4 linked regions of the Coturnix japonica genome follow. The protein of the gene in region 1 purifies or fractionates together with the protein of each later gene. This does not show direct contact. Links are inferred from orthologs where the notes say so. Each region holds a gene or a part of one and is shown in the gene's direction. Other genes may lie near its edges. The genes, in order: PHLPP1, USP1, SUGT1 and USP46.

Region 1 (7,589 bases):
GTCCAAATTTGGCTTAACATCTGTGATTCTATTTTGAAAAATCACTGCCTGGGCTTAAGGTTATTCCTGCAGCGCAGTCTCTTTAAGGCAATCTACCAATTAATTTTGGCATATAGACTCAAGTCTGCATGCCAGAATTGTTGCCTCTTTTATATTATTAAATGGAAGGAGGAGAGAGAAATATCAGGATGACTGTCTGGCACGTTGGCATAAAGGGTAATGAAAATACCAGAATTGCAGCTATGTCTGTTTTTTGGGTGGTTTTTTTGTGTTTGTGTGTTTTGTTTTTTTTTTCCCCTCCCCTTCCCTGTGGGGCTTAAGAAAAAGGAAGAACAAGAAAATTCAGGCACAACTGTGTTTTCATTTATCCATTCAACTGATGGGGAATGTGATAAGTAATGGTGAATTTGTTCAGGTTTTTTCTGACTTGCTCAGAATTGATCTTTTCTCTCAAACTCTGTAACTGATCTCCTTGCCTGAGATGACTTTATTCCAGCTGGTTTTGTGCGGTGTGACATCAGTTACTTGGCTGCTAGATGAACAGGAGTCTTGTCCAGCAAAACAGAGTTCCTCCTTCCTGTTCTCTGCTATCATCTGTGGAAAACTCTTCTGTTGTTAAACTTGGAGTGCTGCCATTGACCTCAGTTAGGAAAAGCCTTCACCTGAGGCATCCAAGTGAATTTCCATAGCTTTTGCAGAACCGGTCTTCCCTTGTTCAGCTTTTCTTTGACGAACTTAGCAGAGCAAGAGAGTTTAATTTTTTATTAAATTTTATTAATTGTCTGATATATTTAAGGCTCTTGCAGCCACACATCTGTGTGTAAATGGAGATGCTCTGAACTATTTCTGACACACTGCTTCTTTAGGTGATACACCATGGATGGATGAATCAGATGCAACTGCAAAATGATAGAAAATTGGACTATTTATTGTGATTACGTTACTGGCTAAAGTAGCAGGCATGTATGTAAGCAGAGACTCGTGTGCCATAGTTCTGCTAGCAAATGATGCTGGAGCTGAGGGACAGCAGTGTTGCTGCTTGAAGTGATGGTGAACTGCAACCACAGAGCACAATCATCAGATAAATCAAATGCTGGAGATGGCATTAGGAAAGCAATTGTTTAATTTAGTCTGAGTCTGTAAGCCGTGTGTTCTGTTGGGTTTGTAGTATAACATGAGAGTTAAAGTGCTTTTGGTAAGAGTAAGCTGAGACTGGCTTTGTTAGGCTAGGCTTTTTGGCTGTGTTCCAGTCATGGTGTATGGCCATCTTGAACATACTTACCCTACTCCAAGCATACTGAAAGACAAGTATTGTACCGTATAATGGAAATCCCTTTGTGCACATCAAGTAGATGTGAATTTGAAGTTAGCGTGTCAGCTCATTGCTTTGCCATGGTATGAACAACTCTTGTTAGCCCCTCTCCTCATTTTGCATATGTCAAATTAATACCACTCCTGAAGTGGCAGCTTCAGGATTAAGTATGCTTTTTTTTTGCTCAATTACGGCAATTAGTGTTCAGTCGTGTTGTGTGTTTAAAAGCAAGAGCTGACACTTGAATGCTTTGCTCTAGATTAAAATAGGACTATTTTTGGCCAGATGAGTATTTCTACGCTGGTCATTACGATAGAAAGTCTACTAAGCTAACGGAACACAGCATGTCAAGCAGCGTTGTTCTTCAGTTTGACTTTTTCTAAGGGGTAACGTCTCCTAGAACCAGGGAGGGTAGAAGAAGAGGAAGGAATTCATTTATACTGACTTGATGTGAGGTTATTACCATGTCATACCTCAAATGAACAATGTTTTCTTCTTTCCTATGGGGGCAACATCACTGTGTTCCCCAGCTTCTGTTAGGAATAAAGACTTGGGGGTGAGAAAACAGCGTAGATGTTCTGTAAAATGCTTGAAACTCAACGTCATGTAAACTCAACAGCATCAGAAAAATGAAGTCTGTAAAATATTTTTCTCATTTGTGATTTATAGCATCAGCAGCACCTATAGCGTGGCTACTGACTGTAAATCTATCTCAATAAGAGAAGCACTGTAAACAATTCAGCGTTTCAAATGTGTTGCATGGCAGTGCTCCATAACGGGAGTGCGCCCACCCATTTGTGGCGTAGTTAGCTTGGCATGTGAGTGATCAGAGATGAGAGGCAGACTAACTTTGGGCACATGCTGCTGCTTATTGTAATTGATGCTGCTTTGTAAGAAGGAATGTGACTTTAGCATGTTGCAGATGAACATATTTAAAGTATTTGTCTTCCAACTTTAAGTACGATTTAACAGTAATTTTTTTTTTTTTTTTTTTTTGTGGATTATTTGACATAAGCTTATTTCTGTAATTTTGGTTTATATGTATCCAGTATTGGAGATGCTTCTCGTGTTATATAGACCAGTTGACCAGTACAGTTCATGGCTTTATTAATTAGATTACTGGAAGTTCAGTATACAAATTAAGTCACGGAAGACCCTTAATATTAAAACATACCTTAGGATAGTAAAGATACAACACATTTAAAAAAATGTTTCCCCTGGACCTGGGATGATTTTCCACAAGAGAACGCATGCAGAAAAACATTTAAGTTGAACCCTGCCTTGATGCTTGTTGATGTAAACATGTATTTTTAGCTTCTTCCTTTTCTACCTCCCCACCTCAAATCCTCTTTTCTCAATGTAACAGCTTGATCTTCTGTAATTTTATCTTAAGATTGTGTTTGGAGTCGTGTAGTAGACTGCACTTTTCACTTGGCTGATGGGCAAAAGCACTGAAACTGTTCCTGAGGCTCCAGAGTAGTACAGGCAAAAGCTGTAGCCTACGTGTTGATTATTAAATTAGTTAATTCTTTTTTTGTGATTGACTTGAAAGTTGGAATGTTTGCATTTTTAAACTTATCTGTCAGATTTTAGTTACTGCCTTCCTGTCTTCACCACTGTTTTACACACCTAAATACTGAAAAACTCATTTGAAATGCCTTTTTTCATAGTCACTGGCACTTGTATTTGTAGCTGACTTTGAGATAACTGAGGAGCAGCTGTCCCACCAGAGCTGAGGGTGGCATTCTATCTTTGGCCTAAGACTACGGTAATCTTCAAGATAAATGCAGGATGGCGGGTATTAGTTTTTAGGTTCACGATTTTTAAGCCCTTTCTTCTAAAATAGGAGAACAGGAATGTATTTCATTTAACTTTTTTGGTGTGTGTGTGGCTAACAGCCCTTATTAGCATCAGTTAGCTTACCCTAGCATTCTTCTTTATTTTTACCGTTCTCCCTCTAGAGATGCATTAGTCATTGTTTCTGCACGGTAGCATTTCTTTCCCTGCAGCAGTAATTTGATTGCAAGATTTCATTTATTCTCCATCTAACTCTGTTCCAAACTTCTTCTGCCTCCAGCATAATATGGGGTGTTCAAAATCTATGCTAGTTCTGGCCAAGAGTTTTCCTTCTTTTTTGTCTCCATCTTCGTACCAAAATACCAACAGATGGCAAAGTGTTCCCATGTCAGTTTGAAACAATTGTAAATATTAAGTGTGTTTAGTTTGTCTCTTGGGGTAAGTAAAATCCACATCCCCTTTGAGATGTGCTATGGAGGCACTATTTGTGTTTTCATGTTGTTTTATTCAGTGGCCTGGGTGCTGAAGATTTGTAAGTGACTTAATGCTCAATGCATTTTCTGTTCTTGTTTTCTAACTGGGGAAGAAGTGCTTTAAGATTAGAATGTGTTGGGTCAGTACAGAGGCTATGGATGCACGGGCACATACTATCTGAGATCACTCTCATGTGAAATGGGAGGATTTGTAGGTGCAGTTTTGCTTCATGTTATATAAAAGCCCGCTCACAAAATGAAGGGCTTGAGAGTTAATGAAGGGAAAATTAAGTTTAAATAAAATATTATGGAATAAACCATGCCAGAAAAGAAACTTCTTCCCATGTATCAGATTCTGACGCAGATCTTTTCATTCATCCATTTACTTGTCTTTCAGCATACCTCCCAGTGGTTGTTAGGCAACCATAATAACATTGCTGAACATGGGTGCTGGCTAATTGAATTGTCCTCTTGGTTTTTTTGTTCATTCTTGGTCATTTTTAATAGGGTGAGCAAACACAAGTTGCTTCTGTGGCTGACTGGATAAACCAAGGGAATTTTGAGTTTTGTGAAATGTCGAGGACTGCATTTTGAGATCAAGCTTTTACATCCTGATGGATACCACCTAATCAAAATCCAGAGAATTTGTCTGTCACTACAGAAGTCTTACTTGAATTTTGCTTTATTTCCCCCCCCCCCCCCCCCCCCTTTTTTTTTTTTAATTCAAACCCTGATGCGTTATAATGAGGTTTTTTGTTTGCAAGGCAGTAGTATCTATTTGCATGAATGGAGCTGAGCTGAACAAAACTACAAAACTGTGTTGAAATAAGTGAGGTTTCCAGCAACTCATAACCAGCATCACTAAGGTGGTCTTACAATCAAAAAATGTGTTGAGAAATTCAGCAGTGTTTAGTACAGGATCAGATGCCACAGAAGACCTTTTTAGAAATGAAGTATGTTACGTGGATTACAAGGATCCGACCTGTGTTACGTGCATTAAGTGTGTTGTTCAAGAGGACCTATTTTCCTATACCAGCTTAACGTGATTGATCCTCTTGCAAGTGGTGCTGAACTTGAGTACCTGAAAGTTTCCATGCTTGTTTGGAGTACATAAACTAAAAGCGCGTGTGATTTTTATTTAAATAGCCAGTCTTACTTCACATTAATTGTTGCAAAGCAACTAGGTGTTTATTATGCTCCACTACTTTTTCTCTGTTTTTTTTTTTCTCATCTCTTTGTAGATTCACCAAGTTGAAGAGCCTTAACCTCTCCAATAATAATTTAGGAGACTTCCCACTGGCAGTTTGCAGTATCCCAACCCTGACGGAGCTCAACGTGTCCTGCAATGCCCTCAGAAATGTTCCAGCAGTTGTAGGCGAGATGCACAAGCAAGTACTTTCTTAAAACTTAATGTACACAGCCTTATAATAAAGGCAACAAACATGACTCTGCACATAATCTTGCTATGAAAAGCAATATAAGCTTAACTGGGTTGTGTCAAGGGAAACTGTCTTGAAGATCTATATAGAAGCAGTTCTGCTCTACGAGTAAGCTCACTTTGCATCTGAAACTCTTCAAGTCCCCAGTATTTAACACAAGGGTCACACTCATGGTGAACTGAATCTTTAAGCCTTGCTTACATGCTTCAGTCATCAAATATGTGGAGGTGTTTGAAGGTGTCTACTAGCATGGCCAAAATTTCATAGTTAGCAAGGCTTTTAATTGCTCAGTATCTTCTGTAGCAGATGTTAAACCATTGTTCCTTTGTTTTTCTTATGCCCTTTGTATATTTTATTTCACCGTAACCACAGCAGACTTGTGTGTTTATAGGAAGGATATGTGATTTAACAGGTCACTCACATTCTTCACTCTCCCTTCCCCTCCCCCCATCTTTAATAGCTTGCAGACATTTTTGCTGGATGGTAACTTTCTCCAGTCCCTTCCTGATGAATTGGAGCATATGCATCAGCTCAGCTATGTGAGTCTGTCCTTCAACGAATTCACTGACATTCCAGGAGTATTAGAGAAGCTGACTGCTATGGATAAACTCTGTATGTCAGGAAACTGTGTGGATACACTCAACTTGCAAGTGTTAAAAAGGATGCCTCATATTAAACATGTGGACCTAAGGTAGGTATTTGAAAAATGGGGAAAAAGAAATCTAAATTGAATCTAAATTAGTGGTATTGAAACAATTTATTTAGTTGTCATAATAACCTCTGGGCATGAATCTGTTGTATTAGATCATGTTTCTGACTGTTGCATAACTTGCAGCACTTGCAGAGACTTAGTGTTTTTTCTTTGAGGAAGAGGTTGCGCTTAGGATCATGAGTTTTGAAGGACATGAATGTTTACACCAAAAGATAAAATGAAATGGTGCATGGAATGCTGATGGCTCCCATAGTTCTAGTTAGTGCAGTATTACTATACTATAAATTACAGTTACTTATCTGAAAAAAGCTTCTATCTGAAATATTACAGATATGTAAGATGATGAAAAGAAAATTCAAAGTGTGTGGGCAAAAACAGATTATGTTTCTTGGTGTGTTACAAGGCCTAGTCCACAACAAGTGACAGTATTTCATTGATGCCTTCAGCAGATATTAAAGAGAACCCTATTTACAAATGGCTTTTGTGTGCTGGTCATTCTTACTGTCTTGGGAGAACCCAGATTTTGCGAGCAGTTGAGCAAGGCTCAATGCATAACCTTTACTTATGATATCCAAATAGTGATGGATTTTAGAACTGCTTAGTTAAATGTAACTGTTCCAGGTAAAACTTAACGTGCTGTACTGTTCTGTACTTGTCAGCTTTTGGAATCAAGGAAAGGCGATCATATGTATGTCAAGAAAAAGATAAAATGGTAAAAAGTCACCTCTCTATCACACATAACTTTAACTTCTTGTTAATTCACTTTCTCCTGTCCTTTGTTAAGGTCTACTATTTAACTAGTGTGGTTTAGTGTAGTTGAAGACAGTATCTTGTGAAGGTATAAAAGTGATCAAAGTAGGTGTTATGACTTCTCAAAGGTCTTTGTAAAGGTGTCCTGGCTATTTCATGTCTGTTATGTTTGTAAACTGTACTTGTTGCGCTGTGAAGTGCTTTGCTTCATTGAAATCAGAAGTGAGCACTGCCTTGTAAATTGGAAACAGAAAAGAATAGCCTGTGACAGTGGATGGGGCTTATTCCATAATTTCATTCAGTGGAAAAATATCGTTACTTTGAAAACATACAGCTGTTGTATGGAGGGTGATGTCTGAAATAAAGAGCAACAGCAAAACTGTAGGTAGAGAGGAATAACGAACCAATGCAAGTTGATGGACTGATTTTAATGTTCTGCTCAGATCTGAGAATTGGAATTCTTTGAAGTACTCTGCCATCTTAAATATAGCTATTACAAGATGATGTTGTTTCAATTGTAACTTCTCCAGAAGTTGCTGAATGTTGGCAGCAACTGCACTGCAGTGAAGGTGTGATAAACAACTGTTTTCTTTATCTGACAGACCCACTTGTCTTGGGTTTTTGCTTGGTTTTCCAGTGTGGAACATGATGAAGTGGCAAGCAAGTCTGGGAATTCATGAGTCTCAGTTTGACCTTTCAATAAAGTAGGAGATGTGAACACTTACAGACTTCTTGTCTGCTAGGCTCTCATCTTTCCAGGAGATGCTTGTGATACACCTGTGATTTTATCTTTTTCATACTATCAGACACAGATTATCTTTTATTTTTATAGACAGGGTAACAATAGCACTTAGATTTCTGTTGAGCTTATTATCAATGATTTTCAAGGTAATTCAGAAAGAAGCCCGGTGGCATCATTCTTTTCTCATGATAGGTAAAACAACAGAGCTGATCCATCCTATTTTTGAAATCCCACGAGGTAGGAAAACTTACTTAAAAATCAAAATTCATTAGAACCTTGAGGTATGCTAAATTAATCCTGAGCAACTGATGGTGGAGTGAGCATTAGTTTGTCAGCAGGACCCTCTCATGTAACTACATTTAAT
Region 2 (8,248 bases), on another chromosome or scaffold:
ACAGCATCACTCGCCCTGCTCCAACTCCCTGTTACCAGCAGGAAGCCCATCAAGTTTGATTTAAAAACAAACACAAGGCAGGATCTGTACAAGGGGGGCCTCACATCTGTAAGTGTGGGGGTACCATCCATGTTGGAGAGGACTGATGGAATCAATGTGAGGGGTGTGTGTGTGTGTGTGTCTGCAGGGATGTGGCCAGCAGATGGTGCACGGCTGCACAGCGTTGGGCTCCTCTGAAGGTTCTGTTTCTGCTTCCCGCAATGTTGCAGCTCTGGGAGGCGCTATCCCGGCTTACACACAACCAGGGAGAGATTTTTCCTTTTATTTCAATGCCGGTTTGTAATACAGCACCTGGCTTTTCATTGGAATTCCAGCTCGGAATGGAAAGCTGCACTTCCTCTGCTACCAGCGAGGCTGTGGAGCCATATGTTACATTAATCTGAGCAGCGAGCTGCACGTTGTGAAATAAAATATGCCCAGACAGACAAAAGATGGGGGAAAACCCTTCAGCTGCTTACAGAGCATCATTCTTTCCACAGCGCAGAACTGAACTTCCAGAAAGATGCATGGAAAAAATGTTCTGCCCTGGCTCTACCCGCAGAGCCCTCCTCACTGCGCAGATTTCCAGCGCACAAAGGCAGATATCGATATGGTTATGCTCTAATCTGCTTTATCTCTATGCTGTGGGTGTAATTGTTATTTTCTTAGGTATGACAGATGCACGTGTAACTTGAGGAGTTCAGTGATTTCATCCAGCTGTGCTTCCTCCCAGGTTAAGAGGGAGAAATGAGAGTGAAGGCTGTGAGTATCCTGCAGTGGATCTCCATCTCAGAAATGCTAAACTGCAGCGTGGAGAGCACTGCTGCAGAGCTCACTCTGTGCTCATGTGTTGTGGCTCTGGCTGACAGCAGAAGTTTGCCGTGTGGAAGCTGCTACAAAGAGGAGCTCACTGCAGGCTTCACCATGGAGTTTACAGGACTGTGGCAAGCTCTGATTTATTGCTTCCTGCTTTTCCTAGAGGCCGTATCTGTAAGGATGCCTAATCTAAAAGCTTTCCGGCAACATCTGGTCACACTCAGGCTCAACTTTTCAGCCATGTTTCCCATGGAGGAGGCTGCCCCTCCTGCCAGCCCTAATGGTTGGTGCTGGTGGACACATCCCATCACTGAGATGGGCTGGGAACCTCGGATCAAAAGGACCTTGTGGAGTGGGAGCATCTGCAGGCTCTGAGGGCTGGTGGCTGTGGGAAGCCAGATTTCCTTTCCTAGGCAGCCAAGTGCCTTGGATGATTTGTTTCCGTGCTTCAGTCTGGTTGTGAATGGAGGCAGGATCACTCTAAATGTTCATCTATACCACTCCTACCAACAGACAGACTTGTCTTCACACTTTATATTCAGTATTCTCATGTTTGTGAATGGTTTCTTACACTTCCTGCCATAAGCTGTTTGACCAAGTGTTCTGATAGAATGAAATCAGTCTGGCCAGCACAAGCTCTTCAGGGCTGGGTCAGGTTGGTGTTACTGCACTGAGGTGACCCCAGGAGTGGGGCAGTGCTGAAAGAGCACATTGTCTGCTCACAACTCACCAATGTTCACTAAATTCACAGGGCAGTTCTGGCTGTGCACTGTGCAGATGGATGGGCCTGATGCTGCTACAGCTCTGTGCTTTGTGAGTAGCTCTAACTCATAACTCACATCAACAAGCAGAGCTGTGGGGCTTCATCCCTGCAGGGGACACTGCTCTGTAACGGAGACTTCCCCCACATCCACCTCCTGGGAATCTCCTCTTTCCAGGCATTTCACAGGGTTATTTTTGGTTCAGCCTGCAGATATTTCTGCTTTCCCACTGCAGCCGTTTCTATGACATGTGGCTGCAAAGCCCGTACAATTACACATCGTTTAACTCGGTGCATTTGAGCATCTCAGGGCTGTGTTTGCAGCCACCCCTCACACCTGCAGCCGTGTTTGAAACATTCCTTTTACTGTGAGAGGCCGGAGCCGCACAGGCTGTGGACAAACAGCTCCTTTATTGAGCCTGCTGAGCAGCCATCAATATTTCATGAGCTGTTGCTCTATTTCTGGATTGATACGGAAAGGAAAAGCCATTTTGTGGCATTTAAACGGATCCATTCCGGCACCGTCCCGCTGGAAGGACTTCCCTGCATTAACTCATGACAGCGAGCCAATATGGGAGGGTTGGCAGGGAGCTGTGGGGGTGAAACAAGCCCCGGGACTGCTGCTGCTCCGTGTGGTAGCGGAGCTGACACCGACCCCCAGCGGCGCGACCGAGCTCTGAGGAGAGACTGACCCGTCCCACCCCGCAACGGCCGTTATCCTGAGCCGTTCAAACGGCCCGCTGTGATTGGCGGAGGCGGAAGGAGGCGGGGCTACGCGCGGACCAATCCGCTGCCGCGGTGTGATCTCGGCGCGGTGGTTGGTCCCGCCCCTTCCCGCCCCTCCCCCTCTCCAGCCCCGGGTCCTTGGTCGCGCCGTTAGCGGCGCCCGCGCGCGCACTGCGAGGACCCTGAGGGCTCCCCGGCGCGTTGCCTGACGGAAGCGGCGGACTCTTGGTGCCGGTGCCGCCGATTGAGCCCGCTCCGAGGTCTCTCTCGACTCGCTCTAGCCGTCCCGAGGAGGGCTGCAGCTCGCCACCATGGCAATTCGATCCCGGCCGGCGTCGTCCCCGCCTTCCGCTCCGGCGTTTGAGCGAGGCAGCCGCGGTCGCTTGGGCGCGAGGAGGGCTGCGGGCGCGGGTCCTGGCGGCGCGGAAAACGCGCCAAGTTTCCCGTGTCGGAGCGAGCGGCCCCAGAGCGGGCGGGGAGCGGGGAAACGGCGGCGCCATGTAGCGGTGAGAGAACGGGCACGGCTACGGGGAGAGAACGGCAACGGGAGGGGGGATGAGGGACTGAGGGACCGCGAGAGGGCGGGGAGGGAGCGGGGCGGCGGGAGGAGAGGAGAGGAGAGCTGAGGAGAGGAAAGGAGGAGAGAGCTGAAGAGAGGAGAGCTGAGGAGAGGAAAGGAGGGGAGAGCTGAGGAGAGGCCAGGCCGTGAGCGGGGCGGTGTGAGGCGGCCGTGACGCCGTGTGTGTTTGTTATGTGTGTTTATTATGTGTGTATATGGCAGGTGTTCGCCCCTCGCCGCCCGCCCGGAGATGCCGGGGGTGCTCCCGAGTGACGGCAGCGCGCCGCAGCGGGGCAGCCCCTGCAGGAAGAACCGGCTGTCGCTGAAACTCTTCCAGAAGAAAGAGGCCAAAAGAGCGCTGGATTTCACCGAGCACACGGAACATGAGCACAAGGGCGCCGAGCTCCGCGCCGATGACATGTAAGTACGGGTGCCCGGCTGTGCCCGCTGCCGTTTCCCTCTTTCCCGGCCGAGGTTGCGGTGTTTTGAGCGTCCCGGGGCACAAAGTTGTGGTGCTGGGACAGAGTTGTCTCGTTTCGGTCCGGTTGCGCCGCTGAGTTGGTTAAAGCGTGTTCACAATGCGGTTCGTGCTCTTAGTGAAGGGATATCGGGCCTTTAGGCTGCTCTCAGCGTGCTCTTAGTGTAAGGATATCACGGCTGGAAGCAGCGGTCCCGCTCCTGCTGCCACACTGTGTTCCCAGCCCTCAGCACCTGTGGGCTCAGTGCAGCACAGCCAGGGCTGAGTCCCACCAGGCAGAGGAGAAATGACCCGATCACAGCAATATGTGGTGGTGAAGACTTTAAGGCTTTAAGGCTCTGCTGTGTTGGCGTAGGGTCGTTGGTTTGGTTATTCAGCTGTTTATCCTCTTGTTGTGCATCCTGTAATGAAGCCGTGTGGATCTGGAGCAATAGAAAATAAGCAGCGGATCCTTTTTCTTGGTGCTGTCTTAGGAATGAATGAAGAGCGTATTAAAGTAGTTGAAAGAGAACTCAGCTGAGTCGTTCAGTCTGGCCTGTGGGCTGTTCTGCAGGACAGGCATTGGAAGTGCATGCAGTAGTAATACGTGCTGGAAGCCTGTCAGGCTGCCTGCAGGTTGTTAGAGGAGCTCCAAGGAGACTCGGAAACACCATGACACAGTTTTCATCTGTGTGTTAATCATTAATTCTGTAAGCTGTCTCCTTATCTTCCGCTACCTATACGGTAGAGGCTTGGAGAGCTGTGTGTGCATATCAGGCAGGTTTCTTATGCTTGTTTTCTCTGTTTGACAGTGACCAGGTTGTTCCTGCAGCACAGCCTCCCTCACTTGTCAGCTGTGAGAAGAAGGACAACATGTTACCCTTTGTGGGCTTGAATAATCTTGGCAACACCTGTTACCTTAACAGCGTTCTTCAGGTAAGATCACATTCAGGGGCCTCAAAAAAAAATCACATTGTACTGTTCTAGTGCAAGTGGCTGGGTTTCCTAGTCTGCCATTATAGAGGAGACGTCCGGATGTTGTATCAGGGGAATCTAATTACAGTGAGGGGAAGAAAAGTGATACCACAGGAAGTGTGTGCACCATAGATTGCTGTGATTGAGTCATCTGTCAGTTTACATACTTGGGCCACCTCCCTGCTGTGAGTAATCCCAGCAGCGGCCTTGGGAGATGCAGAGCTGGCTGGGTCCTAAGCATAGAGAGGTAATGTTGAATAACTGGGTTGACCAACTATTGTCTTGTTTTCTGCTGTTGCTTTTAGGTATTATATTTTTGTCCTGGTTTTAAAACGGGAATCAAACATTTATATAATATCATTTCAAAGAAGAAAGAATCGTTGAAGGATGAAGGAGAGCTAAAAGCAGAAAAGGTAATACATCTCAGTACACCTTGTAACGGTGCAGGTGAGGGTGTGTGCCAGGAAGGTTCTCAAAGTGGAACTGTTTTCTTCTGCTCTTAAGAAGTTGGGCAGTGTTGTTTTCTGTACTATTCTGGGTGAAAGCAGGTTTGAGTGGTTTTGGACTTGTGTTCAAACAGGAGTGTTCAGAGCCTTTGTGAACTTGTAAGCACAAGGCTGAGCTGGTTGAATTTCAGTTAAACTTAGCGTACCTTATGTCTGTGGGCAAAGATAGTTTGGGCTTCTAACGTTCATACTGGGGCTTTCATGTTTCTTTTCTGCTGTCGAATGAGCAATGAATTGACTTAAACTCACCTGTTTCCCCTTGTGGGGAAAAAATAAATCTTTCCAATTTGTTGGATAATTACATAGGGGCTACTCATAACTGCTTGTTACAGACAAAGCTGCAACTATCTTCATTCTCATTGCAGGGAAACTGTAAAGAAGATCCACTGGCGAGTTATGAACTGATCTGCAGTTTGCACTCGTTGATTCTTTCTGTTGAACAGCTTCAAGCCAGCTTTCTTTTGAACCCAGAGAAATACACCGATGAACTCGCTACTCAGCCACGAAGGCTGCTCAACACCCTTAGGTACAAATTATCTTAAACACCACATTTTCACCTAAAGTTTTGGCATAGTTATAACTGTACAGTAGAGCAGGAGGGAACTGTGGGGGAAGGGAGTAGATAATTGTAGATTTTGGGGCATTGTTACGCGATTATACAAAGGAGGTTCTCCTGCATTTCACAGGGGGAGGTTTGTGTTTGTTGCTGCTTCTATGGATTAGAAGTAAATTTAGATTTGGTACAGATATAATTGAAATCCAGCAGTAGATTTTAAGCAGTACTTAAATACTGGAGTATTTAAGCATTCTCACTGATTTGAGAAGTACCACTCCTGGGTCACAACTGGATGTGTCTTTAAGTGCCCTTCTGTGTAAGGCTGTAACTGCCTCCCCATGGGTGTCTGTGACAGAGAGGGCTTCTCTTCAGGTGCAGAGAGGATCATCCCCCTGCTTTTAGAGCTAAGCTTTCCTATTTTAAGTCTTTAGCCACATGTTCTAGTAAAGATCAGCTCATCTCTGGTACTTTACTCATTTACCTTTAATAGAGAGCTCAACCCTATGTACGAAGGCTACTTGCAGCACGATGCCCAGGAAGTTCTGCAGTGCATCCTTGGCAATATTCAAGAAACGTGTCAGCTACTGAAGAAGGAAGAACTGAATAAACTGCCTTTGGAAGAGCCCAAAGCTAAAGGGGAGGAAAAAATTCATCAAAACTCCGAGAGCAATGGGACTGGCAGCTCTGCCGAGGAGGAGGAGAACATCCCAAGTAGCCACGTGGGAGAGGTAGCTGAAGATAAGCTACCCAAAGGAAATGGGAAAAGAAAAAGCGATGCTGAAGGTGGCAATGCAAAGAAAAAGTCCAAAGTATCGAAAGAACAAATTGCAGCAGAAGAAAATCAAAGACAAACCAGGTCAAAGAGGAAAGCAACAGGAGAAAAGCTGGAGAATCAAACTGATGCCATTGCCAAGTGTTCCACTGAGAGCGAGAGCGCAAAGCCAACACAGAAGAAGTCACGACTTAAACTAAACTGGTTAAAATCCTCATATAAACAGCCAAGTATTCTGTCCAAATTTTATAGTCTGGGGAAGATAACTACAAATTTGGGATCCAAAGACCCAGTGAAAGAGTACGATGACTGTGAGCTTGAGGAGACATCTGCCAAGTGTGAAAATGGTAACGATGTTAAAGAAGATGGTCACAAACCAACATCTCCTGTGGAAAGCCATAATGAAAAAGGAACTGAAAAAGAGCCAAAAAAGGAAGGTTGGTGAACAAGTGAATGGGCTTAAAGTTGGTATGGTTAGGAAATTAGTGTGCACTGGAAGTCAACCTTCAGATTGCATTGCAAGCAGAGCTCTCTGAATACAGAGCTACATTTTCAGGAGCTGAGAAGTATTTCTTTGAATTTGTTTTTGCATATTTGTAACTTTTGTTTCACACCTTGACTAGTTTAGCTTAGATTACAAAAGGTCTTTCTCCAATATCACATAATTGCTCTTCAACATAAAAACATTACCAGGCTTATATTTTCGCTAATATTCTTACTAATTATTGTCGTCTCTAGAAATAGAGAGGGAATTAAAAATGTAAAAGGATGTTATTTAAAGGAGAAAACAAAATGAAATCCTACAGGCCATGAATTTGTGTCCTTACAAGCAGTGTTCTCTCTGTAGCTCCCTATTGTAGGATGTTTGCTAAGTGGCTGACAGGAATGGATTTTGCCAGTGTCAGTGAGAGAATACAGCTCTTGAGGGAAGGGGTGCAGTAGGGCTTTAAGGTCCCTTCCAGCCCAGCTGTCCTGTGATTCTCTGGTACTGTGAAAATCACACTTGATAAGCAGCTTTTTGGAATCCCTATGGCACCGTGTCTGTAACACTTGATTTTTTTTTCCTTGAAGAATAGCCAGGTTTTGTAGTACCTTCTGAATAAAGCACATGTTGGTAAGTGATCTGGCATATACTTTCTCTAGGTACAGAGTTGGCTGTTTTTGAACTAGTGGAGAAATTGTTCCAGGGCCAGTTAGTGCTGAGAACGCGATGCTTGGAGTGCGAGTGCTTTACTGAGAGAAGAGAGGACTTCCAGGACATCAGCGTTCCAGTGCAAGAAGATGAACTTTCCAAAACTGAAGAAAGTTCTGAAAGTAAGTAATTATCATAAAGGGGGATTTGTGTTTCTGCTTCAGATAGCTGTAGAGGGAGGACAGTGCTGTGTTTATGAAGGAGCACTGCTCTTGTTTGTGCTGGTTAACACTAGAGGTTGTTCTGCTATCTCTTGTCCTGATTAACTTCTGACTTTGCAAACACAGCACTGATAATGTAGGTGGATCCAGACAGTATTAAAGTTGCCTCAGATCTCGATAGGTAACAGGCAGCTTACAGTCCTTCACTTACGTCTGCTTTTTCCTGCTTATAAACAGGTATTTACTTTTTATCTGGGTCTGCCCTCCCTGATAAAAGATTACTTTAAAGTGAAGGATAAGAGGAAGACATATCAGCATTTTTGTTAAAATAAATGAAGTTTACTTCAGGAATTGACTTTTTTCTATTACTTTTGGACTGTAATTGCCTTAACACAGTGGGGAAATGTCCCTTGGTATGTTCTGCCACTGGTAGTGATCCATGCGTAGTTTTCAGACAAGCAATAAGCGCATCTGCAGTATGTTCTGATGTTCTGAATTCAAAATAAATCACCTCTAGTCCTCGTGGACTTAACTGAGAGCAGCTCCCACTCTTTTTGCCTTCCCCTTTTTCCGGTGGGTCTGCTGGGTTAGGTACACTGGGAAGTGTCCACGTGGAAAATGCTACTGATGGCAGAGGTGACCGTGTTAATGGGGAGGCTGTTGAGGAGGTGAGCTGTAAGGAACGAATGGGAGCTGCCCAGTTATTTTGGAAACTTACTGTAGGGAATA
Region 3 (7,589 bases), on another chromosome or scaffold:
TCCCTGGAGGCAGTCAAGGCCAGGCTGGATGTGGCTCTGGGCAGCCTGGTCTGGTGGTTGGTGACCCTGCACATAGCAGGGCGGTTGAAACTGGATGATCACTGTGGTCCTTTTCAATCCAGACCAATCTATGATTCTGTGATATGATTTAAAACTCACAGCAAGGGAAAAGCAATCAGTAGTTCAGTAATAGACATCAGGAGTTAATAACTAAGGAGTTGATTGGAATAACTAGCTCCAATAACGAAGGAATTGTTTGGAAAGCCTGATTTCTTATTTTCTTGCATTAAATATAGCAAAACATCAGAAACTAAAAGAATATTTTTCATACATTTTAAAACCAGAGTCTGAGCTGTTGTTCTGTCTCTGCCAGGTTTGATTTCCTTCATCCATCTGATCAGAGCTCGACACTAATTTTCCAAGCAAACTTTCCCTTAGCATGAATTGTAGAATAAGAGATGCAGTAAAAGTTAGAATAAATTTCTCACAACTTGTTAGTGCATACCAGAACTTTCTTATTAAAAGAATTTTGGTCATTTTTCTGCATCTCATCTGATGAGGAAGGACGCTGTTGTAGTCGAGGGCTGTCAGGGTGGTCAGGTGGCTGCAAGTCGTGAGCTACAAGGAGACTCTGTTCAACCTTAAGAAGAAAAGGCTGAGGGGAGGAAATCTTCCCTCCTAACAGAACAGTGTAAAGAAGATGAAGCCAGACTTCTTTCAGAGCTATGTGGCTGTAAGAGGGAGAGTCATTGGGTACAGGTGGGTGTAAGGCATCATTCCTTTTGCATTGTCCTTTGCTTTGTATTTCTGACAAATGCAGCTTCGGAGCTTCTTTGCTTCTGTTGCATTCATTGACATTCATTGCATTCATTGAGTTTCAATAAGGAGTAACAGTGAAAACAGGATGCAGGCTTAGAGTAGCTGTGCATCATATCTTTAGTATGTAGTTTGTAGCACAACCAGGACCTGTGAATAAGTTAAGCCTTCGTGTGCCTAAAGGTTTTGAACCTGTTTTTAAATTGTATTTAGTTAGAGAAGGTTTTTAAAGCAGCATTTGATGAAGTGGTTAACAACAAGAGCCAGCTTCTTAAACAGGCATGCAAAACACTTAATTTATGGCGGATTTTTCCTGCCTTATCCTAAAGCTGGCATGAGGCACACAGGCATATGTTTAATGAAATATAAATGTTAAATCAAAGGAGCTGGCAAAACACTGAGATGTATTTCTCTTGCCTGGGTACTGAATCTTTTTCAAGGGAGAGAAAAAAGCTAACAGTGTTAGGTGTGGCACAAATGATGTTACTTGTCTATGCAATAGCTATCAGTATCTGCTGGAAAATATTCATTAAAATGCATTCATTGCCATTTGTGCACATAATTGGGAGTTGTTTCTCCTTAGAGCGAGTAAAGCAGAAATAGGCATCTTCACAAGCAGGATTTTCTAGCTTTATTTTTGGAAGACCTGGTTGTATAACGGTATACAGCTAATGATTTCCCTAGTTTTGTTCCTGCCTGCCGCTTTCCCTAATGGGTGAGTTGAATTGAAGTGGATGGAGTAGACGAGATAAAGGCTTATGTCATAAATGTGTTCTGTCTCAGTTTCTTCAGCGAAATATACTCAGTTTGGCGGTGTTGAAATGGTTGAGATTTAAGGAATCTGTATCTAACACTGGGAATTAGTTTGTAGCATTTCCTCTTCCTTGAGGATGTTTGCCGTATAGTACTGACTCAGGGCCACTTTCAGAGAGGAAAATGTACCAACTAGAAGATTAAAAAAGGAGAGGGGGATTATTGGAACAGCAGAAGTATGAAGACTTTTTCTTCAGTGTGTGGGCAGAGTGCTCTGAGTAGCCAAAGGGATCTTTGAGGAGGGTTGTACTCTGCAAAGAAGTCTGTGTTGAGAGGTTCACGTTCAGTATTTTGCTGCATTAGAAATCGTTCTTGATACAGATGATGTAGCCTGTGTTTGAAATACTGAAATATGTTGATGAAAGCCTGAAGCATAAGGATAAGAGGAGGTAGCAAAGGGGGGAAACAGGCAGAAGGGAAATGGAAGTGACATAGGTTTGCGCAGGTTCAGCATTGAGAACGTGCTGGTTTTTGTTATTGTCAGTATAGGCCGTTCAGTGGAGATGCACTAATTGACTATAAAAATCGTGGTGTTAAGGCCTCCTCAGCAGAAATGTGTAGCTGAGCTGATAATGGTTTGTGCAACTTGAGAAGAGGCGTGTGGGAAGTGGCGGGATAGACAGGTGGGTTTAAATTAAGACTTAGTGTTTCACTGCTGACCAATTAGTATCCTTGTAAGTGGCTAATTAACTTAAACATTGGATTCATAAGATCCAAATCCAATAAAAAAAACCAACCAAACAAACAACCCACTAGTTCTGATGTGGAGCTACTAATCTCATATGCGGATCCATAAAAACAAAACCATCACAATTGAAGCTCCATTCGGTTCTGAAGGACGTTCATTCTATGCTTCAAGTCGTCTTGTTCTCAGTGCAAGGCAGTGGTAGGAAATGCATACTTAACCTTGCCTAGGGAAGCGGTAGTTTCCCTAAGGGGAAAAAAAGGAGCAACAGTAATGAAAAATTCTGTTTCTTAAAATGCAGCGTGATTGCAAATATGACAGTTTGGAAATGAAAAAAGCTCTTTAATTTTATAAGGCGTCTTGGGCTGTTACATATCAATGACTGATTAGAAGAATGGATGAAATAAAGTTCACATTTCAGTTCAACGCGACGCTGTGCAAGGAGTGTGCTGCTGGGATCCCTCGGGTTAGCTCTGACAGAGGTGCCTTTGTTCTTGGGTCTGCAGGGATCTCCAGGCTATAGTGGCTTTAGGAAGAGCTAAGAGTTCTCTTATGCTAAGCTACGCAGAAATAAGGAACTGCTGAGGCTTAGCAGGCACAGATTTGAGTCAATTGATAACATCATAGGAACCTCGATGTTTTCTGAAGTGAGTCTGCCACCTAAAAGTGACACTACAGAGTCCTTGTTTTGCAGTTTGTTTTCATCATAGAATCGTCATAGAATCACAAGGTTGGAAAGGACCTACAAGATCATCTAGTCCAACCGTCCTCCTTTTACCACACCTACAGAAAACCACTAAACCATATCTCCTAGCTCCCTATCCAAGCGCTTCTTGAACACTGCCAGGGATGGCGACTCCACCACCTCCCTGGGCAGCTATTCCAGTGCCTGACCACTCTGAGAGAAGAAGTTCCTTCTTATGTCCAGTCTAAACCTCACCTCATACAACTTGTGGCCATTTCCTCAGGTCCTTTTGCAACTGTTATCCTTTGACTGAAGGTTAAGGTTAAATGTGGAAGAACTATTTCCATGTGGTTGTCTGTAGGGATGGTGTGTAGTTGTGAATATAGAGGCATGACATGCTTCACTTAGTTCTGTTTCTTCTATGATAATTACAACCATATCCACTTTTAATTACCAGTTCTGTCAATGAATACTAGTCAATTTTCTCTTGTAGCAGTGTGTTGGTTGAACCAAATGAGTACAGCTTCTGCATTTCTCTAATAGAAGGATCAGAATAGTTCCTGGGTGGTTCTCTGGTTTGTATAGTATACAACAAATACTGTGTGTTTGTGTTGATGGGTGAAAATTAAATCTAGCACTTGGATTTTGCAGTCATTCAAAAGTTCTATTTAATTACTAGAGCTGACTGGCAATTAACAGATGCTTAACTGTACTTTTATGTCATGCAGCGTAAAGGTGTTGTGATCTTTCATTATTCCGGGGTGCCATAATTCACAAAAAGTATCAAGCAAATAGTGAGCATAAGAAAGTAATACTAAATAAAAGGTGAAACTCTGATGTGACTGCTTAGCTCTTGTATCAGAGCTTAGTTCACATGTCACTTAAGACCCACAAGTTAAAGACGCCACCTTGCAACACTGGGGCCCGGAGTTCGAATCCCCCGAATCCCCCCTGTGGCGCAAGTGGTAGAAGTGCTGCTCTGCTACACAGAGGCTCGAATCCCAGGGGTTGGACTCGATGATCTCTAAGGTCCCTTCCAACCCGCACGAAACTATGAAAAGTTCATCTGGTAACGTAGGCCAGTCTTTTTTCAGCGCAGGCTTTGTGATAGAGATTGTTTCTAAACCAAATGTTATTATTTTCTTGCTGTTACAGAACCCAACTAATTTGAAACTGTTTGTCTGATCTGTTTGCCATCTGGATGAATTTTGTTCTTGGCTTTGTGGTTTGTAGGTTGAAATAAAAATGAAGAAACCAGAAGCTGTAAGATGGGAAAAACTGGAGGGAGATGGAGATTCTCTGAAGTTAAAGCAGTTTGTACCAGGTTTGTTATCTGAATTCACCATTAAGAGCTCTATTTTTGTGAAGGTATTTTCAGATATAAACAACTGGCGTGTTAAAAGTTTTTAATGAAATTTGTCCTGTATTTACAAAGGAAAGCCTTACAGTCTTGTGGAAGAAAATGACAGAAATAGGCTGCAGGGCATTACTAAAATTAATTTATGAAGTTTAGTCGTAACTTCTGTTAATCTGATGAATTGTTGAGGATGTATGCTTGTCATTAATTCCTCTAGGCTTTTATCTGTTCAGATGTTTATTCCTGTCGCTGTTTTGAAGTTCTTTGCATTGCTGTACTTATATTAGTACTTAAATATTAGCGTTATTTACCAAGGTATTCTGCTTCTCTAGAAAAGTAATGCATTTGCAGTGTTTCAACACTGATTAATAGCCCATGTTGGAATGAATCGTGTCCAACTTTGATTATGTCAGACTCGCTAGACACATGCATGTAAAGCTGCGGTTTGCAGTACAGCCAAGTCTGTAGAAAATGCTTAGCTAACCAATGCTTCCATCTTTCAGACACCCAGCACTTATATCCATCATCCTCTCACTATACAAGGAACTGGGACAAGCTGGTAGTGGAAATCAAAGAAGAAGAAAAGAACGAAAAGCTAGAAGGAGATGCTGCTTTAAATAAACTTTTCCAGCAAATCTATTCGGATGGTACCGATGAAGTGAAACGTGCCATGAACAAATCATTTGTAAGTCATCACTCTTTCTCTAAAGAAAAGTGTGACTTTTGCACAGTGTCACGGTTGTAGTGAGCTTTGCATGCATCAGAAGGCTTCTATTCAGCAAGACCCTAGGCCTGTAATAAATGGCCCTGGTTCAGTGGGAGATGTTGGTATAACAGGTCTCAATGGAAGACTGTACTTTGTTGTTGCTTTCTTTGTTTCAGTTAGTGTTAGGAGAGGGAATATAGTTTTTGGTTCCTAGAGAGCTTTTGTTGTTGCTTGAGGTGAAAGAATCAAATTTCTATTGTTCTTTGTATGTACAGCTTACAAAAATGTTGAGTGACCCTCTAAAAGCATCCTGTTAATTGACTTCTCATCATGTCCAGTACTAGTAACAAGTATTTTTAGGCTGAGGTTTATGGGCTGATGACTGTCAGACTTCATTCAACGAACACGCACAAAATTCCTATGTAAATTGTTTTTGCACGAAGTTTCAATTCTTCAGGTTTCTTCAGAGTTTGCCATCTGCTGTGACTTCTATATTGCTGGAATTCCTGTACCAAACTAAACACACGTTTCCTTATGTTGCAGATGGAGTCTGGAGGCACAGTTCTGAGCACCAACTGGTCAGATGTTGGTAAAAGGAAGGTAGAAGTAAATCCTCCTGATGATATGGAATGGAAGAAATACTAATCCTATTTTTAATCTTTTACCATCTGTGTTGCCATAATCATGTACTGGCCACTGTATATGAACATAGCATTCTCGGATTCAAAGCACTGAAATGTTCCCTTGGAAACAGGAATTGTCTTTACATTTGGCGTGCTTTACAGATCTCTTCATCTGCAGATGTTAAAGATGTATTCAAGAGTGGAATCCTCTTTTCATCACCTCTGTTTTGGGAAATTGAATCAAACACAGTCTAAATTTTCTACCACCTTTTATCAGCTCTGCTCTTTGGGGATGGGATGATCTCTAATGGGCTGTTAAGGATGATTGCCTTATGCCTGATATTTCTGTTCAATAACTTATTAGATCTTGGCAACTTTGGGTAAAAATACTTTACAACAACGTTAAAATTGTTTGCTCTTTAACTGCTAAATAAAACTGTAAATACAACTTTATATACAGCAGCTTCTTCGTTTTTTGCATTCTTGGTTTTTGATGAAGGGGAATTAAAGCATGTAGCTAAGAAAGTAAATACGCTGCCTAAGGAAAAAAAAACAAAACATATAGCTTGTCTGGGACCAAACTCTTAATTTTGTAAGAACAAAATTGTTCTTGTTGGTGCAGATAAAAATTGATATTATCTTGGTGATAGATTGGACTGTAGTCCAACGTGATGCAAGTCAGCAGGAAATTTCTGCATGCTCAGAATTGCTCTCATTGTAGAGGAGAGTGCCTGCATCTGTCACTGTGCAGCAGTGCGTTGTTTCTACCAGTGCACCTTCTTCATAGTGATTCAAATTTTGAATGATAGCTTTTCCAAACAACAGAGCTAAGGAACTTAAATACTTTCTCTGTCTTTACCTCCTGGATACAGGTCTGCAGTGGCCTGCATGCTTGGAGGCGCTCAAAAGCCTGTTGGATGGCTGGGTTTAGGTGTCCCTGGTTGAGAAGGGGTAGGACCGGGTGACCTCTGGTTGTCCCTTTCATCCTCAGTCATGCTGAGGTTCTGTGAAAGCAGGGGGTATGGGTTACAAAGTTGAGGTAGTGATGCTTGTTCTACATCCCACTGTTGGGAGTTCAGAAACACAAATATTCCACTATTCCAGAAGTAGATGTCACTTGCAAATATTGGCAGCCACCTGAAAGTCACCTCATTCCTTGCTCTTATCATTGGTGCTGTTTTGAATGCATGGCTATTTTTCCTTGCGTTCCTGGTTGTGCAGGCTCTTCTGGATTGTTACTCTATTTCTTTCTTATATATGTTTATTTTTTACTACTGTGAGAACCAGTTGCCCAGTTTTGAGATGGTTTGCTACCTGTATGGCAACTTGATTTGATTTGGAACAGGAACTTGAACTTGTTTCTCATAGATGAGTGCTTTTGAGTTATGCACTGGAAGGCACCTCTTCCATTACTCCTTAATGTAGAATGAAGACAAATACGTGAGCTTTACTTTGTCATGAAATCAAGTTCTTGTCTCTTGGCCAGCCTTGCTTTATAAATATCATCTGATGCACTTAGCAGTGCTTACTGAGGACTTGCTATGGGAAAAACCTAGATAAAAAATCTCTTAAGTAAAAAGGGAAGAGGTAATTTGAAGGTGTTTTCTGCCAAACAAGTTGCTTTTACTTACTGTAGAGAATGCAGTAGTGGCTCCTCTGTCTACTTTCACTTGCTGAAAGTCCATGGGAATATTTTATCAGATAAGCACAATATATTCTTGTATTAAATGGGTACTGTTTCACTGCTCTGGGATTCCATTCACTTAGCTTAAGGCATAAAGTAAAATAAAACGCGTTGCTACTTATGTACTCTTGAGGCACGTGTAATGCAAATATAATGCTTTAGCTTCAGGCTAAAACTTGTAGCAATCAAATAGAAGACTTCCTTGTCCATCTCAATCCTG
Region 4 (7,589 bases), on another chromosome or scaffold:
ACACATCAATTACACACTGTCTAAGGTAAATGAATGCATCCTTTTGATGAATGTTTCTGTCTGACTTTGTTATATTTTCCAAATCTAGTAGATGCAGTAGAGAGAAGTGGAATAGAATTGTGTTTTGAACTTTTCCTAAGCAAAAGAATATTACTTTAAGCTGAATTCTTCCTCTAGTGACAAAATACACATTAATGTATTTTGTTTTACTCTTGCTTTCAATGTATGTGTTTGGAAAAGAAAAAACAATTTCTCTCTTGGGGAAAAATTGATTGCCTTGTCATCTGGAAGAATCGCTGCAGAATAATAATTGGTTTCAAAGAGGTTCGTGTGTGCTTATCTTTAAGCTTTTAGTCAAGTGCTTTGTTGATTAGGATTTATGTGTGTATTAAAAGTCAGTGTGTGCTTTGTAGAGCACTAAAGTCCTTAGAGGGCAAAAGATTCCCAAAGTCTTCTTTTGTGCCATGTAAATTTCTTATTCACATCTCATCCTAAAATTATAGTGATAACTTTTTAAGTCAGTTCTGCTCATATTTCATGCCTATTTATTAAACAAATCCTTCAGAGATCTATGTGATTTTCAGATTTGCATGAATGGTTACTCTGAGGGATACAAAATATCTGGACTTTTGGCACTGACGCAATAGGCAGGTACCTATGTTTAAGACAGTATATTACTGCTTTAAAGTAATGATTATGAATTGGCCAAATTACTCATTCAAGCTCCAAATTTGCTGCCAACATTTAACAACTGCTGAAACAGCTGTTCTGGAATGCCTAGGAAGCGTTGCCTGATACCTCACATCAACTATGGAGTTGCAGAAAGAGAAAGCATACAAGGTATAAACCAATTCCTGAATCAGATGGCAGTGATTTCTCTGTGGACACAAGTGTCCTGAGAAATAGCTATTGCAAAGGTAACTGCTCTGCTGTGTCTTTACAGCTTTAAAAACTACTGCATTGAAAAGGTACATGGGGTACACGGGGTTGGACTCGATGATCTCTAGAGGTCCCTTCCAACCCCTACAATTCTGTGATTCTGTGATACATTAAAGAAAATCCATGCAATACAACATTTCAGTAAATGAATTCTAAAAATATGGGAGTGTAGAGGGTCAGTGATGAATTAGCATGTCCTGAGAGAGTAAATTCCTCTTTTTCGTTAAAATGCCATATAAACAGATGCAGATTGGCCCATTAATGGAATAGGAGGAAGTTAGAAATGTCTTGCAACTCATTCTGCAGTTGAGGTTTCTGAAGCCTGTAGCTCTTATTTTTAAGTGTGAAACAAGTTTTAGGAGTACCATGCTGAGAATTCTTGATTGATGTAACAACTACAGAAATTGCACTCTTGAAGGGCAAAAAAAACATTTAATTTTCCTCCATACATCTCTTCCCCCAAGAAAATACTTACTGCTTGTATGTGGGCTACTTGTTTTTTTCTTGGTACAGGCAAATAAATTAATATGCTGAGTCAGTAAACAAGTAATGCCTCTAGGTTCTATGACTGTGTCTCACCTGCTTTAGTAGAATACGGTAACAGCCTTTTAGGCAGAAGGTAGAGGATAGATAAGAGGGTAGTTTGATTTAGATTAGATAATGCAAAGAAAGTATTCTCTTTGAGGGTGGTGATGCCCTGACATAGGTTGCCCACAGAAGAAGCTGAGTGCCATGGATGCTTCATCCCTGCAAGTGCTCTAAGCTGGGTTGGATGGGGCTCTGGACAACCTGATCTAGCAGGAGATGTCTCTGCCCAAGTAGGGTGTAGGAGCTCCATAAGCTTTAAGGTCCCTTCCAACCCAAGGTGTTTGAATGATAGAATACTCTATTTAAAGACCAGTCACAAAAAAACCTCCTGTGTCTAAACTGGACGATAGGTGCTTATGCCTGCCTTTGCAGTTCTCAAAACACCTGCCTAGTTGCAATGTAACACTAGAGGTGGCAAAACAAACAACTGTCATTTTTTTCCTGTTAAGATTTTTAGACACCTAAAGTTCTGTTCCAAAGCGTATAAACGTTGAGACTTCTGACAAATCTTTTCTGCGAACTGTGCAGCACAATTAAGCCAACTCTGCCTCCCTTCAATAGCTCTGTTTAGAAATTTTTCTAAGCATATTTACTTTAGTGATATATACAAAAACCACCATACTAGCTGACGCTTTCCTTTTTAGATATCATAAAGGTATAACCACATAACTTCTGGATAAATGTTCAGAGGTTGGGGGATGCAGAAGCCCAAGTTGAGTTTATTTTTCTGCATAAGAAAATTCAGGCTTATCTTACAGGAGAACACTATAAAACGTGAACTACCTGGGGATGAAAGAAGTGTGCTGGAAGATGTTCTGTTCTATAAATAAGTTGAAAAGGCACTGGATGGGTGCCTATCTACACTGAAATCTAGGCAGCTCCTTGACATGTAAGAGATGAGGATATAGGTCCTATTTAGAGACAGTTGACCCTTTTCTGGTATTGCATAGAGAGTCTCAGCACCTAATGCAAAGCTGTCACTACAGCCAGATACTGTAAGTCCCTTTGCAAATCCCAGTACAGTTGCTTTTAGTGCTTTAGAAAACTGGATTTCAGTGGAAACAAGATTTCATCCTGTGTGTCTTTTTAGGATTCCAGTTCCACAGTCCAAGCGTGGCACTGGGGCAAAAGCATTAAGAACTTTGTGGAACTGATAATTGTATTTACTTACAGAGACTTCAGTAACACAGAGACATTATGTAGTGAGCAGAAATACTACTGTGAAACCTGCTGCAGTAAACAAGATGCACAGAAAAGGTAAGCAAAGAGCAAGGTGGTTTCAGTATCTTGCTCCTGGACTTTGACAAGCCTTCTTTTTAACATTTATCAAGTTTCTAGAATTTACACCCCACATGCATTATCTGCGTGGGCCAGAGAACTTGCAGACAGACTCAAGGCTATCACACCACTTAGTGTAGAAGCTACTGCTAGTATACTACTGTTTCTTACAAGGTGTTTTTCTAATGCAAACATTTATTCATTAAGAAAGAGTGGCTATGAATTGGACATGTGCGTTCTTATGGTTTCACAGGATGCGAGTAAAAAAGTTGCCAATGATTCTTGCCTTACACCTCAAGAGATTCAAGTACATGGAACAATTGCACAGGTATACTAAGCTGTCTTACCGTGTAGTATTTCCCCTGGAATTACGTCTCTTCAACACGTCTGGTGATGCTGTCAACTTAGACCGAATGTACGACTTAGTAGCTGTTGTTGTTCACTGTGGAAGGTAAGACTCCTTCACATATATCCCAAGCTATTACAGGTTCCAGGCATTTTGTCAAGGATGAGGCATGCCTGACAAAATGGAGGGAGAGTGCAAGAGGGGATATAAGCTGTGCTGCTGCCCCAGCTTGTGTATATCTTGGCCTGAAGTTCTTAGCTACCCTTTCTCACAGTAAATCCGTACCTCTTTGAAAAACAGTGCTTCAGTCTCCCAAAGTCACCAGACTGAAATCAGGAGAAAGGAAGGAGGAAGCTGACTCTTTCCTCATCACTCCAGTTAGAGAGCTTGGATCCAGAAGGGCTATGGGCTTTTAGTATGTAGGCTCTGCAGCAGATCGGCCTGTTCCTGTCAGGACAATGAAAACGATACCTTTGTTAAAGCTTCTCAGGAGCGAAGCATTGTCAGACATGAAACAAACAGACAAATCCTTGGGGCTAGAGAAATATCTTGTTCTCCTTTAATCTCAAAAACAATAAGTAAGTTACTATTCATGGCTGATATTTTCAAACAATTTCCCCTTAAAATTAATTCGTGTCATTTTAAAAATATTTGCCATAGTTGATGCCAGCTATGAGGAAATTGTTAAGTACTGTGTAGATCAATTTGCAGATGGTCATAGCACAAATCAAAACAGCACATTATGCATTTAGTTGACTAGGTCATTGCAATGAGGCAGAAAAAAAGAGAACATATATACTGTACTGCTAGAAATGGGTTTACTGTATTCTTCTTAGCATGTAACTATAATTTTACTTGCTTTTTTATGGACATGTGACTTATCAAAATCGACCCAGTAGTACTTTCTAGTGTTATATTGGGTTTTCTTCATTTACCTTTTCAGTGGACCGAATCGTGGGCATTATATTACTATCGTGAAAAGTCACGGATTTTGGCTCTTGTTTGATGATGACATTGTAGAGGTCAGTATGCTGAAGGCCATGAGCACAACATTTGAGTTTATGTTCTCTTTGTTTGGAATTAAAATTCTGATCCAGATCTGTGTATAGATTACTAGTCTGCAAAGCCACAGCTTGGTTGTAATGTGACGTTTGGCATGGCTCTGTCAGGAAGATAGATTGCAAACAGAATGATTAATGGTGTAGTTCTCACCCTGTCAGTGTAAGAGAGAGCTGTTTTACTTTAAAGCAACATGAAACATTTTTAATATTGCATTTTGAGTGTTTAATTTAGAATATTTTTTTAAGCATAATAAGATCAAGTTAATTCATTAAAACTTAGAACATATAGGAACTATTTTACAGTCTGACAACATCACTTGGCAAAATTAGGTTGATTGAAGTTAGGGTTGTTTGGAGTTTTATTTCTTCAACAATTTGGAGGTTATAAGAGCATCTGAACTTTGTAGTCAGTCTTGGATTGTCTGGATGAAAATTAGTGAAGGATGTGGTCTACAGCTATTACAGGTTATCTACACATAGCACAATTCATTCCCAAGCAAACCCTTTATGTCACTGTGGCACCTGGCATAACTGGGGTCCTGAGTTTAGTTCCCCAGGTTTAAATCCATTGGAGTAAATTAAGAATTGGATCTTCAGGACCATTGGAAATTAAGCATGTCTTGAAGAGGGTTTCTGTCACTTTTCAGAAAGATGAGGCCACATTTGAGTTTTTTGTTTACTACTGCATTCCAAACAGACTGTGTTAGTTGAAAAAGCCTAATTCCTTTAGGTTCTCCAAGGTGAATGTTCCTATTGATTTCAATGACAGCAATCAGTAGGGTTTAGCACCTGAACACTAATTACCATTTCACTGCAAAGAGAACTTGCTGATTGCTGCTCTAAAACATATAAATGAATTTGCCCTCTGTTTCTATATAGCTTTTTAATCTATGCTTGGCATTTCTTTTAGCAATACGTTAAATGATTCTATTTATTTTACAGAAAATAGATGCTCAAGCAATTGAAGAATTTTATGGACTGACCTCTGATATATCAAAAAATTCGGAATCTGGTTATATTTTATTCTACCAGTCAAGAGAGTGACTTGGGAAACTGTGACAACTGCACACAACAGCTCTGCAGGCAAAGAAGGTGATGGCCCAATGAACTGACTTTTACAAAGACCTCGTCTTGTATGGCTGAAAAACTATATCTCCTGTCTCTCATTAAATGGCCTATGTGCTATTCACCATAACTGTTCATTTTTGATGTACAGAACTTTCTTTCAGGCAGGGAGGGTAGTTTGTTGTTCTTAAGTCTAATTGAGAAGTTAATTGTAGTCAGTTTTTAGTGGAATTTGTATGGAATAACATAACGCATCAAAAGAATTGGACTATTAAACCAAATCCAGATAGAGCAGTATTTTATATGGAAGAGCTCACTGTGTTTAGCCCAAAGTTGTTAAAAGCTTTCTAAATGATTTTGGAGTGCATTGACTTACTTAACCAATTTAAATATAAGGGGGAAAAAATCTGCTTCATAATTACTGGAATTGCCATAGGTTGGGTTTTTTTTTTGTTGTTTTGTTTTTTTATGTGCTACTCTCAACTGTGAAGGAAGTTAATCTTCCAAAATCATTTAAGCTTTGGGGTTGTTAAAAACTTTCAGTGTATAATGTTAGGCCTCAAGTTCACATAGAGGAATATAAATTACAATGGAACTAAGCAATATTGTATGCCCAGTCAATGTGATAGTACAGGTGATGTGAGATTTCAGAACTTACAGAGCACTGGAATAAAGTCAGTATGATGACACATGTAACACACAGATGAACTGCATTTATAGAGATTAAGTTTATTGTTCTGTTAAAACAATATAATACGTTCTTGACTTGAGTTTTCAGATATAACAATGCTGCTCTTGTACAATATATCTGCGAGGACTGAAATTACACAGTCCAGCTACAGGTGTGCTGTTGGTACACTACATAAAACAGGGCTCCATCCTACATTATTATTATTATTGAATATTAGACAGCATTTTGATCAGACTAAGTTCTACTGTTTCTGATTTTACTGGGTGAATTTGGCTGGCTATGTAGTCGTACAGTGGTTAATAAAACCATCAAACACACATACTGGAATAAGGCAAAGAAAGAGTGTAGAAGAATGTGTCAGTAGGGTATGAGAAGGAATAGAAAGCAGGATGAGACACAGGTAGCACTAGGTATCTCTATTGCTTGGTTTGACACAGTTGTACAGTGCTTGAACCTTATCACCCAAATGCCTATCCAAATTAAATCAACAGCATAAAACCTCCTGTTGTCTTAAGGGCAACCAAGAACTGGTTCTAGTATTTGCAAGGACACTTTCTCATCTCACAAAATATATTTTTAATTGTTACGTTTTATTCACTCTCGTTCAGTATTTATGAGACAGTGTTGCTTTTGGTACTTTTCTTTTAGAAGCCTGGTAGTCAGTGTTTCAGAAAACTGCTTCTGAACCACAGCTAAATCTATTTTAGTTTTCTGTAGGAAAAATATTTTTCCACTGTAATCTACTGTGAATGTGAAATATCTTCTCATTGAATAATGGGGAAAGTGGAATACTAGCTTCTACACCAACGTTGATTGAAAAGACGGATTTATCTATGGCCATTTTGCAAACCAAGGAAATGTAGCACTTTACACTGAAGGAGGAACAGAAGTGAGCTTTTCATATGACATTTTTTTTGTGGTTTATCATGTCATTATACTAGTACAAAAAAAAAAAAAAAAAAAAAGATGTAGAGTAACCTCGGGGTCCTTGGGTACATGAATAGCGGAGCTCTTCAGAGATCACTCATGTGAATGAAGGTTGTTATGCAGGCTACAGATACGCATAATTAGGATGCCATTCTTGTTCTTGTATCGATGATGGAGTGAAATGTTCTGTCTGCAACAAAAAAGACAGACATTCTACAGGAGAAAAGTTAAACCTGTAAATCCTTATTTGATGAATTCATTTATGTGCATTCCAAATTTCCACATTAAAAATATAATAATTAATTGCCTTTTAAAACAAGAGCATTTCCTGCTCATGAACGAAGGCAGCTTCCAGACCAGCATTCGCCAGTGTTGGTCCAAGGGTCCGTACTTCATGGCCTAATGCTGAACATTCATAGGGCATCCTTCAGTTTCCAAACAAGCAACAAAAAGGCATCTTTAATGCAGCTCATGTTTATACATGAAGTCATTTTGCATAAGAATAACATTAAAATTGGTCCAATTTTAGGATATTTGTTAAATTTTTTTGAATTAGCTTATCTGACAAATTATTAATTATTGGTTGGACTGGATGATCTCAGAGGTCTTTTCCAACCTTGGTGATTCTATGAAGTACTATTTAAATGATAAATTATAGAATGCTCTTTGCTTTTCTCCAGCTGCAAGACAGCTC

What was found.
Region 2: the proteins of PHLPP1 (region 1) and USP1 purify together in Homo sapiens (affinity purification with mass spectrometry; 6 studies listed by BioGRID and IntAct, counting the BioPlex papers as one, with this or other methods). This does not show direct contact. The link is inferred for Coturnix japonica from reciprocal best matches to the Homo sapiens genes PHLPP1 and USP1.
Region 3: the proteins of PHLPP1 (region 1) and SUGT1 purify together in Homo sapiens (affinity purification with mass spectrometry; 5 studies listed by BioGRID and IntAct, with this or other methods). This does not show direct contact. The link is inferred for Coturnix japonica from reciprocal best matches to the Homo sapiens genes PHLPP1 and SUGT1.
Region 4: the proteins of PHLPP1 (region 1) and USP46 purify together in Homo sapiens (affinity purification with mass spectrometry; 7 studies listed by BioGRID and IntAct, counting the BioPlex papers as one, with this or other methods). This does not show direct contact. The link is inferred for Coturnix japonica from reciprocal best matches to the Homo sapiens genes PHLPP1 and USP46.

What each region holds. Positions count from the first base shown.
Region 1 is NC_029517.1:62,912,789-62,920,377, forward strand, and holds part of PHLPP1 (PH domain leucine-rich repeat-containing protein phosphatase 1), read left to right. Parts: intron 1-4,823; coding exon 4,824-4,970; intron 4,971-5,481; coding exon 5,482-5,712; intron 5,713-7,589. UniProt on the Homo sapiens protein: Protein phosphatase involved in regulation of Akt and PKC signaling.
Region 2 is NC_029523.1:24,709,614-24,717,861, forward strand, and holds the start of USP1 (ubiquitin carboxyl-terminal hydrolase 1), read left to right. Parts: upstream 1-2,712; 5' UTR 2,713-2,847; intron 2,848-3,122; 5' UTR 3,123-3,150; coding exon 3,151-3,320; intron 3,321-4,169; coding exon 4,170-4,293; intron 4,294-4,637; coding exon 4,638-4,745; intron 4,746-5,203; coding exon 5,204-5,364; intron 5,365-5,884; coding exon 5,885-6,603; intron 6,604-7,309; coding exon 7,310-7,480; intron 7,481-8,248. UniProt on the Homo sapiens protein: Negative regulator of DNA damage repair which specifically deubiquitinates monoubiquitinated FANCD2. Also involved in PCNA-mediated translesion synthesis (TLS) by deubiquitinating monoubiquitinated PCNA.
Region 3 is NC_029516.1:148,362,267-148,369,855, reverse strand, and holds the end of SUGT1 (protein SGT1 homolog), read left to right. Parts: intron 1-4,232; coding exon 4,233-4,323; intron 4,324-4,859; coding exon 4,860-5,041; intron 5,042-5,605; coding exon 5,606-5,707; 3' UTR 5,708-6,138; downstream 6,139-7,589. UniProt on the Homo sapiens protein: May play a role in ubiquitination and subsequent proteasomal degradation of target proteins.
Region 4 is NC_029519.1:59,564,445-59,572,033, forward strand, and holds part of USP46 (ubiquitin carboxyl-terminal hydrolase 46), read left to right. Parts: coding exon 1-25; intron 26-2,700; coding exon 2,701-2,784; intron 2,785-3,058; coding exon 3,059-3,256; intron 3,257-4,094; coding exon 4,095-4,173; intron 4,174-5,154; coding exon 5,155-5,256; 3' UTR 5,257-7,589. UniProt on the Homo sapiens protein: Deubiquitinating enzyme that plays a role in behavior, possibly by regulating GABA action. May act by mediating the deubiquitination of GAD1/GAD67.